Linked DNA regions of Sus scrofa. The protein of the gene in region 1 interacts with the protein of each later gene in a pairwise test. Links are inferred from orthologs where the notes say so. Each region holds a gene or a part of one and is shown in the gene's direction. Other genes may lie near its edges.

Evidence for each region.
Region 2: the proteins of HAP1 (region 1) and HMOX2 interact in a two-hybrid assay, tested with the Homo sapiens proteins (2 studies listed by BioGRID and IntAct). The link is inferred for Sus scrofa from reciprocal best matches to the Homo sapiens genes HAP1 and HMOX2.
Region 3: the proteins of HAP1 (region 1) and TAF1D interact in a two-hybrid assay, tested with the Homo sapiens proteins (2 studies listed by BioGRID and IntAct). The link is inferred for Sus scrofa from reciprocal best matches to the Homo sapiens genes HAP1 and TAF1D.

What each region holds. Positions count from the first base shown.
Region 1 is NC_010454.4:20,941,467-20,944,966, forward strand, and holds part of HAP1 (huntingtin-associated protein 1), read left to right. Parts: intron 1-43; coding exon 44-160; intron 161-286; coding exon 287-447; intron 448-640; coding exon 641-743; intron 744-821; coding exon 822-888; intron 889-3,172; coding exon 3,173-3,303; intron 3,304-3,500. UniProt on the Homo sapiens protein: Originally identified as neuronal protein that specifically associates with HTT/huntingtin and the binding is enhanced by an expanded polyglutamine repeat within HTT possibly affecting HAP1 interaction properties.
Region 2 is NC_010445.4:37,865,333-37,869,595, reverse strand, and holds the start of HMOX2 (heme oxygenase 2), read left to right. Parts: upstream 1-1,463; 5' UTR 1,464-1,535; intron 1,536-4,263.
Region 3 is NC_010451.4:26,164,483-26,168,421, reverse strand, and holds the start of TAF1D (TATA box-binding protein-associated factor RNA polymerase I subunit D), read left to right. Parts: upstream 1-1,139; 5' UTR 1,140-1,290; intron 1,291-3,047; 5' UTR 3,048-3,148; coding exon 3,149-3,207; intron 3,208-3,939. UniProt on the Homo sapiens protein: Component of the transcription factor SL1/TIF-IB complex, which is involved in the assembly of the PIC (preinitiation complex) during RNA polymerase I-dependent transcription.

The sequences.
Region 1 (3,500 bases):
GAAACCAGGAAGGTTTTCCCCATGGATGGGGGTCCCTCTGCAGAGAGAACGGGACCTGAACACTGCAGCTCGCATTGGCCGGTCCCTGGTGAAACAGAACAGTGTTCTGACGGAGGAGAACAGCAAGCTGGAAGCCATGCTGGGCTCGGCCAGGGAGGAGGTACCAGGGCGCCGGGGGGAGGAACCAGGAGGGGGCGTATCTCAGGCCTGCCTCCATCTCACTGTGCCAGGATCTGTGCCTGCCCCTGTCTGCACCCCGACCCCAGGCTCTTCTTCCTCTGGCCAGATTTTACATCTCAGGCACCAGGTGAGCCTGCGGGATGACCTTCTCCAGCTTTACTCGGATTCTGATGAGGAGGAGGAGGAGGAGGAGGAAGGTGAAGAGGAGGAGGAAGAAGAAGAGGAAGAAGAGGAGGAGGAAGATGGGGAGGAAGAAGAAGAGCAGAGGTGAGATCATTCCTACAAAGCTTCGGAGCTGTGCGTGACCTGCTGGTGCATCTGGGTACCCCTTCTCTGAGCCCCGGTTTTCTTGTTCACCATGGAGACACCTTGTACCCGACCACCGCAGGCAGCCCTGGGTGGGCTGCGAACTGGGTGCCCCATGCCCTTGCACCCTGACTCCCATGGCTCCCTCCTCTAGGACCCCTCTGGCAGAGTCAGAGTTGCACTGCTGCCCGCAGCTGGAAGCCCTGCAGGAGCAGCTGAGGCTGCTGGAGGAGGAGAACGAGCAGCTGCGAGAGGAGGTGAGGATGGGGAAAGAGGGCGCGCTGGTGAGCACGGGGTGTTGACTCCCCTGCCACTTCCTCTCTCGCTCCCTCCAGGCCTCCCAGCTCGACGACCTTGAGGAGGAGGAGCAGATGCTCATTCTGGACTGCGTGGAGCAGTTTTGTAGGTGAACTTGTAACTTGGCATAGGGGGCTGTCCTGGGGAATGGAGGGAAGAGCCCAGGATGAGTCTGGAGACTTGGAATTCAAGGCACAGCTCTGGCACTCCCTAGCTGTGTGACCTTGGCCAATTTCCTTGACCTTTCTGAACCTTCATCTTTAGAAAGGGGATGAATGATCTTGGCCCTGCTGACCTCTCCAGGGGGGCAGCTGAGGAAGTGCTTTGTACAGATGCATGGGGGCTCCACTAAGCCCATCTCCTTTTGTTCTTTGGGGAGAGGGAGGGGCTGCTAGAGACCAGGCACCCTGGGCACTGGGCCTGGGACAGTTCAGAGTCACACAGTAGACAGAGGCTGTGCCTGGAATTTAAGAAGATGAGTGAGGCACAGCATTTGTCTCCGAGGAGCTGGGGTCTAGCTGGGGAGATGCAGACTCAAGATGGCAACACTTGAACCCATGCTGTTCCCCTCACCCCAAATCTGCCTTCCCTGCCCCTGGTTGCTTGAATGCCCCTCTCCCCCCAATCCTGGTCCCAGGCCCCTGGAGTCGGAGCGAGTCCCCACGTTCTGTTGCTTCTACCTCCTAGGATAGGCTCACGTCTCTGTCCTCTTGCCCACCCCAGCTGCCTCTAGCCCAGGCCTCCTCTTAACTGCTCTCTCTGCCTCCACTCCTGCCATTCCAGGCCCTCTGCACACAGCCCAAAGGGATTTTGTAAAACCAGATCTGGGAGTTCCCACTGTGGGGTTAAGAACCTGACATAGTGTCCATGAGGATGCAGGTTCCATCCCTTGCCTCGATCAGTGGGTTAAGGATCTGGTGTTACCACAAGCTGCAGTGTAGGTCATGGATGGAGTTCGGATTCAGTGTTGCTGTGGCTGTGGCATAGGCCTGCAGGTGCAGCTTGTGATTCAACCCTTAGCCTGGAGGAGTTCCCGTCGTGGCGCAGTGGTTAACGAATCCGACTAGGAACCATGAGGTTGCGGGTTCGGTCCCTGCCCTTGCTCAGTGGGTTAACGATCCGGCGTTGCCGTGAGCTGTGGTGTAGTTTGCAGACGAGGCTCGGATACCGCGTTGCTGTGGCTCTGGCGTAGGCCAGTGGCTACAGCTCGGATTCGACCCCTAGCCTGGGAACCTCCATATGCCGCAGGAGCGGCCCAAAGAAATAGCAAAAAAAAAAAAAAAAAAAAAAAAAAAAGTCAACCCTTAGCCTGGAAACTTCCATATGCCTCAGGTGGGGTCTTAAAAAAACAACAGGGAATTCCCATCGTGGTGCAGCAGAAAGAAATCCAACTAGTATGCGTGAGAATGTGGGTTTCATCTCTGGCCTTGCTCAGTGGGTTGGGGATCCGGCCTTGCTGTGAGCTGTGGTGTAGCTTGCAGACTCGGCTTGGATCTGGTGTTGCTGCGGCTATGGTGTAGGTCGGTGGCTGTAGCTCCAATTTAATCCCTAGCTTGGGAACTTCCATAAGCTGCGAGTGCGGCCCTAAAAAAAAAAATCTGTTTATGTCACTCCCCTGCCTAAACACCTCAAAAACTTCCCACTGTCCACATAATAAGCCCCAGCCTCCCTAACCTGTCTACTGCCCCGCCACCCTCTCCTGATGTCCCATAATTGCCTCTGGGTCTCTCCACACCCTGCCTTCCCTTCTGCCTGGTGAGCCCCATTTGCCCTGTGGCAGTCTTAGCTTCTCAGATTGTGCCAGGCTAGCCTGGCTGCTGCATCAATGCCCCCGCTGCACCCGTTAGCCATGCTGCATCCCAGCCCGTGATATGCACGACTGTGATTCTTTTTCCCTGAGTCTCCTCATGAGTCTGGAGCTCAGTGAGGGCTGGGGCTGGTCTTGCTGACTCGCTTACCCTATGTCAGTCAGAAATGTGTACTGAAACTGAAGACCCAGAGTTCCCGTCATGGCTCAGTGGTTAATGAACCCGACTAGTATCCATGAGGATGCGAGTTTGATCCCTGGCCTTGCTCGGTGGGTGAAGGATCTGTAGGTTGCCGACATGGCTTGGATCGGGTATGGCTGTGGTGTAGGCCGGCAGCTGTAGCTCTGATTTGACCCCAGCCTGGGAGCATCCGTATGCTGAGCGTGTGGCCCTAAAAAGACAAAAGACAAAAAAAAAAAAAAAAAAAAAAAAGAAAAGAAAAAGAAGGAAGACTCGAGTGAGGGATGCTAAGCTCTGCGGAACCTTGGGTACTCGGCAGGAGCTGAGGGGCACTGGCGATGGAGGTGTCTGGGAGGCTGAGGGCCTGGGGGGCCAGGGCTGACCTCCGCCCTCCCCCCCAGCGGAGGCCAGCCAGCAGATGGCCGAGCTGTCGGAGGTGCTGGCGCTCCGGATGGAGAACTTTGAGCAGCAGCAGAGGGAGGTCGCCCAGCTGCGGGCCCAGGTGGTGAAGCTGCAGCAGTGCTGCCGGTCGGTGCGTTGGGGCTTGTGTGGGGCTCCCTCCTCTTGCCAGGGCCATGCCCCCTTCCCCCTGCCCCCACCCCATGGCGCTCTCAGCTCAGAGGCCCAAGGCCCCTCTCTGGGTCAGTGTCAGAGTTGGAGGAGACCTCAGAGAGCTCCTTGTCCTGTCCCCTCGTCCCAAGTCAGGGACCGAGCCCAAAGAGGGACACG
Region 2 (4,263 bases), on another chromosome or scaffold:
TGGGACCAGAGTGACTCCAGTGCCCTTTGGCCTTGCTAAACGTTAAGACTGGAAATCAGTGCAGGCCGTGAGTGACAAGGAACAGATATCTTCCCCAGGCTTCTGGTCAGTGATGCTGGTGCCAGGGAGCTGTCCCAAAGTGGGCAGGCAGACGGGCAGCCTGGGTGAAGTTCTTGTTTCTTGAAGCCCCAGCAAACTGATGGTCCCCAAAAGCCTGAGGGAAGCGATTTGGCTACGGACTGGCATATGCTCAGCCGTGACTCAGCATTTCTTGTGGGATTTTATATCTGACAAGGACTTGCTGCAAAACACTTGTTACCCAGCCCAGTGACATGTACAAGTGATGATAACAGTGGGAAGCCTTTCCTGGGCTCCTCCTATGTGTCAGGCACAGACTTAGCCCCACATTATCTCATTTGACCTCTTGAGGCAACCCCTCCTTCAATCAGTGTCACTTGGTTTAAACCAATTTGATGTGTGTGTTGGGGGCAAGGTGCAGTACAGTGTGTAAAAAAAAAAAAGAAATTCATTCTTTTACATTTGATTTTGATAGCCAAATAATGCGTGACTCATTTATTCATTCTTATAAAAAATTTAAATTGTACAGATATAGCACAAGTGACCCCGACATCCCTCTATCATTCTAGTGTGTAAAATTTCCCTTTTGGATGCATTTACGTGCCTAAATATATGTATGGAAAGATTACATTGTGAGGAGTTCCCACTGTGGCACAGTAGGTTAAGAAACCGACTATAGGAGTTCCCATTGTGGCTCAGCAACCTGTGCCACAAGCTGCAGCAATAGCCGGCCAGTTGCGCCACAAGGGAACTTCTCACCCTTCCTTTTGACTGGCACAACTTTATTGAAAGGATGTGCCTCTGTCAACTCCATCCCATCCCCTTTTGATGGTCAGATATTTAGGTTGTTTGAAGGTTGTCATTGAAATGGTGTTGCAATGAACGTCCTTGTTGGTGTCTCTTTGGCTTCTAGTGCTTGTCTAGAACAGCTACCCCTAAGTGGAAGCACTGGATCAAAGAGAATACCTATTCCAAGTTTTAACACATCTTTCCAGACAGTTTCCCCCTTCCACAATAATTCCAAGAATTACTGTTCGTTCCCCACACCTTTGCCAATACCGGACAAAACCAGTCTTTCAAGCTGCAGCCAGGTGGATGGTTACGGAAATGACTGGAAACCAGTGTGGCTCGAACAGAAGGGGCAGGTGGAGCCCAACGCGATGAGCCTGAAGCGGTGGCGACACGGAGCAAGAAAAGCGCTAAGCACAGAGCGTCCTCATAAACACCCCTCCTACCAAGCCGAGTTTTCACTCCCCGGCGGTCGGACTTCCGTAGCGGGGCGGAGCGCGGAGGGGCCGGGGAGCGCAGCCCCGCGCCCGCCGCAGGGGCGTGTCCTCCGCAGGTCCCGCCTCCGCGCGTGCGCACGTCGGGCCGCGCGCTCCGCTGCGGCGCCCGAGGGAGTCGCCGACCGACGCGCGGACGCGGTGCAGGCTGACTGCGAGGCGGCCCCGCGGCCGGTGAGTGTCTGCGGTCTGCGCGGTCTTCCTTCCGACTCCTCGGAGGGCCTGGCAGGCCTGGGCCCTCGGGAGCTGGGCAGGGCCGGCCACGTCCCGCCGCCCACCTGAGGGAGCAAGGGCAGGCCGGGAACGGGGCGGGGGGGACCCCGCTTCCCAGACATGGTTGCGGAGGCCCGGGGAGGCCTGAACCGCCCGTTCGCGCTGGTCCCCGTTGAGCCCACCCCCCGCCGGCGTCACAAGTGCCCCGGGGGAGCTGACCCCCGGGTCGCGGGCGGACTTGGCGTCCCCAGCGGGGCTCGCAGCCGGTATCTGCCAGCCGGCACGTCCGTCCACCTTGGTCGGGCGAGGACCCGGACCTGGGCCGGCGTCGAGCTGTTGGGCCCGGGCTCTGCCCTTACTCCTCCTGACTCACCTCGTTCCGAGGGCCCTTTGAGTCCCTGTCACGACTTCCCGAGGGACCTGCGGCCGCCAGATAGCGAGAGACCAACGTCAGGGGCAGCCGGTGGGTTGGTCTGGCGGGAAGTCTACCTGTCGCCTCATAATCGCAGTGCCTAGGTGTGTACTGATTGCCACGTAAAAGCTGCCAGGGTCGCCTTGCTCAGTCTTTGCACAAGGCCTGTCCTTGTCATGCCGTTGAAATTGATTCCGAGGAACGGTGGCTGGGGCTGTTCGTGCTTATTGTGTTGTATTCGTGGCTCTTAGAAGCACCCACAGCGGAGCGTGACTGAGAAAGGGTACACATCGTCTAGTGCGCTCGGGTTCAGGAAGTCCTCTCCCTCAGCCCCTCACAAAGCCCTGTGAGTTGATGATTTTCCCACTTGTAACGTGGGGTTAATGACGAGTCTCAGGTTGACAGCCTCGAGCTGCATTTCCCAACCAAGAAGATGGCACAGATGGTTTGTACCTGGTCATCTGTCCCCAGATCCCATGCTCTTTCCTAAGTAGAGTTGTAGAGATTGGAAATGGATTAAATTGTCTTCCCCTCCTGCTACACTGTCCTCCCAAGTAGTAGGAAACAGGAGCTTACTGCTTTTATATTTTTGAGTTTCTGTTATGGCATTAACCGGGGTGGGTTTTTTTTTTTTTTTTAATTTTAACTGCCCTATTAAAATTTTTAGTTTTTCTGAGATGTATAAAGAATATAAATGAGTAAATCTGTGCTTTATTCATTAGTTTTTTGTTTTTGTTTTTTAAAGAAACATCACAGGACAAAACATCATATACTTAGCAGGAGCTCACAGTTCAGTTGGGCATTTACAAGTTTACTGGGTGAACTTGGAAAAAGTTTTTGAATACAGTATCTAAGGCCAGTCACTGGTGAGGGTATGAGAATTGGAGGGACCTTGGAAACATACTCATTGAGTGACCTCATTTGCCTGGGGATGAGAAGAGGAAAAACGTGTGTCTTCCCCATTGTCTGACTTGATTTCCGTTTTTCCTTTGCCTGGACCAGTAAGGTGAGATCCTGTCAGTCACCAGAGTCAGGAGTATGAACTGCTTTAGAAAATGACAGTGCCGAGAAGATGAGTTACAGAAAGTAAAATATTCATTGCTTTTGGCTCACCCGTTGTTGAGTCTGTTGAAAAGCAAAACTGGACAGACATCTGCGGCCTTTGGGCTACCTTGATTTTTTTTGTTTCATTTTATTTATCATTATTATTTTTTTGTCTTTTGTCGTTTTTAGGGCGGCATCCGTGGCATGTGGAAGTTCCTAGGCTAGGGGTTGAATTTGAGTTAGAGTTGCTGGCCTACACCACAGCCACAGCAACTTGGGACCTGAGCTGCGTCTGCGACCTACACCACAGCTCATGGCAAGGCTGGATCCTTAGCCCACTGAGTGAGGCCAGGATCGAACCCATGTCCTCATGGGTACTAGTCAGGTTTGTTAACTGCTGAGCCACAATGGGAACTCCTGGTTTCATTTTAAAATACTGACTCTCTTCATAGGACAGTTGAGCTCTGTGTCAGATTTGCACCAAAGACTGAAGTATCACTGCTCTAGGAGAAAGATATTTTTGAAAATTGGGATTGTATATTTCAGTGTAAAATTTAGAATTTAACTTGTAACTCTTTGGAGAGAAAAATAAAAAATTGGAACAATGAATTACTTCCTTGTGTGTTATTGGCCATAGTTAACTAAAAAGTTATAAATAGACGTTTAATGCAATCTCTTTTTCTCATAGCACTTAAGGGGAGAATTAAGAAATCTGGGTCACGTCTCCTTTTGTGTTGAACACAGTGAAGGTTATTTGCTTTTTAATTTATTATATTTGTCATGTTTGTTTGTGTGAAAATCGTCAGATGAAAGCTCTGTCTTTTCTGGTAATCTGAATAATCCCTTAGGATATTTTGGCCCTGCTGAGCAGCAGTGCCATTACCAATTAACTCTTGCCAGCAAGTGGTGGTGGTGGGGCTGTCTTTAATTGGAACAGTTAATATAATTACCTATTTATACTGGGGGGGGAGTCTTCCCATTTTTTTTTCTTATATGGAAGATATTTCACTCTGGTGACCACTGAGGTGGTCTGTGATATTGTTCATTCTGTGGTTTACTTTTCCATATTGACTTCATGTATTTGCCATGCAGTCCATAAGATGTCCCCCATTATATTACACTTTTTTTTTTTTTTTTTGGTCTCTCCCACAGCATGCAGAAATTCCCTGGGCCAGGGAGCAAACCCTCCCCACAGCTGTAACCAGAGCCATGGCAGTGACAACACTGCATCCT
Region 3 (3,939 bases), on another chromosome or scaffold:
ATAAAATAGAATAAAATTTTATTGGGGTATATGTGATTTACCATGTTTATTAGCTTCAGGTTTACAGCAAAGTGAATCAGTTATGCATATAAAATACATGCATTTTCATTTTGTACTGAGCTTCACAAACTGCATATGCAGGCCTGCCTAGGAATATAGCAGTGACTAAGACATGTGATACCTGTCCTGGAGCTGACAGTACTTCATAATGCCTAGAAAACCAGACTTTCTGCGCCTGGAATTTAGAACAACATTTAGAGAAAAATTGAGTAAAGAAACCTGATTACCTTCCAGGTCTGTCCTATCCCGAGATGACACTAACCACAAATTAACACGAGACAGCTTTCCTGGTTTTATTATATGATACAAGAGGTCTGAAAGTAGACAAATCAGGACAGCTCATTCCTTTTTTGTAACTACTTCGGGGGAAAAAATTGCCACCAAAACTAAACTAGTTTAACTTCTACCTTAACACTCATTTACCGCTCAGGGAACTAAGAGGGCTAAAAAGAAAAAAAAAAAAGGCCCCCGCTGGCATCTCTTGCGATGTGTTAACCACCTCCTGGGAGGCTGACCCTTAGTTCCAAAAGAAAGACTGAGTTAACAAAACAAGTCCGAAGGTGGAGAGGGAACTGAGTGCGTAACTGGATAACAATGGCTTCTAGTACAAAGGTTACACATTTCGATTCTCAGTCACAGCATGATCCTCTCACAATTTTACACAGAAGAGATTTTTGAAGGCAAAAGTAGACACACACACAAACACACACACCCGGAATCAGACTTTGGAAAGTCGGAGGACAGCTCAGCAAAGGGAGACCACTGGAGTCAAAGCAGGAGAAGTGGCTCTTCCTCGCAGTTCACATTCATTCCGTTCCCCTGCCCCCACAATTTCTTTTTCATAGTTTGCCCAAACGTTCTTGACTATTCCATTTACCTTACCGGTTCAGGACGCGTACACCAGAAGCCTGGCCTGGCCTCAGTCAAGTCCGCCTCCCCTGGGTTAAAAAGCTCAGGTCCCGCCCACTCTAAATCGCCCCGCCCCTCGCGGCAGCCAATATGGAGCGCCGCGTCTGGTTTTCTCCTATCTCTCTGTTATTTCCTGCAGTCAAATTGTTATCGCGAGACTTCGGGGCCACTATTAGCTGGGACGCGGGACTAGCCCAGCCTTTTCTTCCGCGCGTTTGTGGAGGTTGGGTGTTTTCTGGGCCTGCGCGCCCAACGCGGGTTTCTGAGGCCGGGGCTGCAACCGAGGACGCCAACGGAGACCCGTGCGCAGAGCGGGCACAGGTTGGTATAAGCCGTCCGCGGTCTGGACGGATAGGAAAGAGGACTTGGGCGCCGGGGCCTTGTGGGCGAAGGAGGGGGAGGGCCTGGCGCTTTTCACTTTTCCCGGGACGCCTGCGCGGCTCAGCGGGAGCGGAGGGCTCGCGGTGATTGTGGGCTCTGCTCTGGGCGGCAGGACTCACAGGTACAGGCTAAGCGCGTGGGCCGTTATCGGAGTTGTGGGTGTTGAAGTGCAAGTGTATTGAAGCGAGTGCACGTTTTCTCAATTAGTGGTGGTTAAGTGCGAGGTAACCGTTACCGACGCCATTTTCCTTGCACGAGGTTAGGCACTTCTGGAGACATTCGCCCCAAGGTCGCACTAAGTAAGAGTTGAAGGGATTTTGTTAAAGCTGCTAAAGAGCACTGCCTGGCTCCGTGGCCCCTTGTTGCAGAATCCCGGAACAGGAAGCGATAGGAATGCTTTCTAGTTCCCGAAAGTTTTTTTTTCTTATTTTTATCCCCACACCCGCAGCATATGGAAGTTCCCAGGCTAGAGGTTGAACCGGAGCTACAGCTGCCGGCCTACACTACAGCCATGCAGAATCCGATTTGGATCTGTGACCCAAGCAGCTTGCAGCAACGCGGGATCGTTGAGTGAGGCCAGGGATTGAACCCGCATCCTCACGGAGACAGCGTCCCGTCCTTAACCCACTGAGCCACAATAGAAACTCTTGAAAAACATTTTTGAGTTAAGCTTACTTAATTTTGATAGTGTGCTCTGTAATTATTTTAAACTTAATGTCAGGTATTCCATCATTGCCATTGGATCCAGTTTTTGTTGAATTTCTTTTTTAGGCTGTTTTCATGATTTATTTCTTAGGTTAACGCAGTTTTGAAAACTGCAATAAAACACTATGAAATTATCACACGAGTCCATGAGACATTGTGAATTTAAGATCTAGGTGATCTTATTGATTTCTTAGATTTCAAATACTGCTGCTGAAGGATTTCTTTCATCATTACTCATGTGTCATTACTAAGAATGTTAGACTAAGAACACCACAAAAAAATGAAGAATGATGACATCCTCATAAGGAAATGAAACAGAACAAAATAAGACATCTTTAATACTTTTCCCAAACTACTGTAAAATCTTCCAAGGAGATTTTTTTTTAAAGGAGACAAAGGGCACCATTTATTGTAGTCTGTACATTGAAAAGTGAGAATTCAGAACTTTGGGTTAACACCCATAGTAGCAAAGAAGTAATTTATCAAGGAAGGGGTTTCACAGTAACTTAAAATCTAGTGAGGGAAAGAGGCCATAAATGAAAATTGCAGACCTGAAGGTTAGGTTTAGGTAAGTCCAAATAATTTTTCTGGGTATACTGAGGCCAAAGGCTGCCTTTGTGGGACTTAATCTTTGTTATGCAAGAGATTTCTTGGTTCCCACCACTGTTGGCAAATGGCTTTTTGGCCATTAATTGAACATTACTATTTGTAACTACATGACTGTATGGCTAAGGGTAAAAATTACATTTTTACTGTTAGGGAAAAGAAGTTTGACACTCCTGTAGGAAATCTGGAATCTTGTTCTATAGGATGGATTAAGTAGGCACAACTGAAAGAACCCATGAATAAAATCTTTAGATGTTAGAATTAGACAGTTGTATATGAGAATATTAAAGGCCTTACATTCATTTTTGTCTTAATTTTCGTAATTGACTACATCAATATCTGCATTACTCTGATCCTAGCTGTTTTGTTGGCATTTATTTGTTCAGGGAAACTACATCACATCTACCAGATTTCATATGGTCAGAAGTCTGTTTAAAGCAAAGGACAAGTGACAATTTTGAGAGGAGCTTGAAGACTATATATCAAGATGGATTCTCACAATTGTACAACAGTTTCTGATTCAGCTTTGGAAATTGAGAATCAAAGGTAAGTGTTTTTCTAAAAAAATGTCTACATAAAAAATATGCACAACTGTGAGTTAAGTTTTATTTGGGGCAAAATGAGGATTTAAGTCTAGGAGGCAGCATCTCAAGTAACCCAGAGAGAACTCTTGCAGGGTGACAAGGGGAGGGTCCTGTAACGAAGGGCAGATAACCTCAAGTTAAGGAATTCAGCACATGTCTTTGTATGAGAAGATGCCAAGGTCTGGGTTCACTGAAATAACGTCTTTGATGTGCACCTCAGCTGTCTCTAGCCAGTATCCCCTGTTTTTCCATCCTGAGTTTCCTCAGGGCTCACTATATGGTGTGGCTGCTGGCTGGCAGGTGTTTCTTGCCTGTGTTCGCTCAGGGCTCACCAGCTCACCATCGGAGGTGGCTGAAATCACTGATGACTGACATCCTTTGCTTACTGATAGAGCAGGCAGTGTTTTTATTTCTCAGTTAACTACCACCAGGTTTTCCTGGGAACAGACTAGGTGATAATGTTTACTGTATTGGAATTGCTGTGATAGCATGCATCATTGTAGATAATGAATAGTTTGTAAGGTAATTTTTAAGAATTGGAAAAAAAGGAAAACCCAGTTTCCACAGACTTTCGCTTTAACTACTTTGGAATAGTGGGACGTGTTTGTAACCCAGGGAATCAAATCAGGAGTGTATTCTCTGGGCCAAATTGGTATTTTCCTGACTAAATCATTCTGTTGTGTAACAAGAGAAT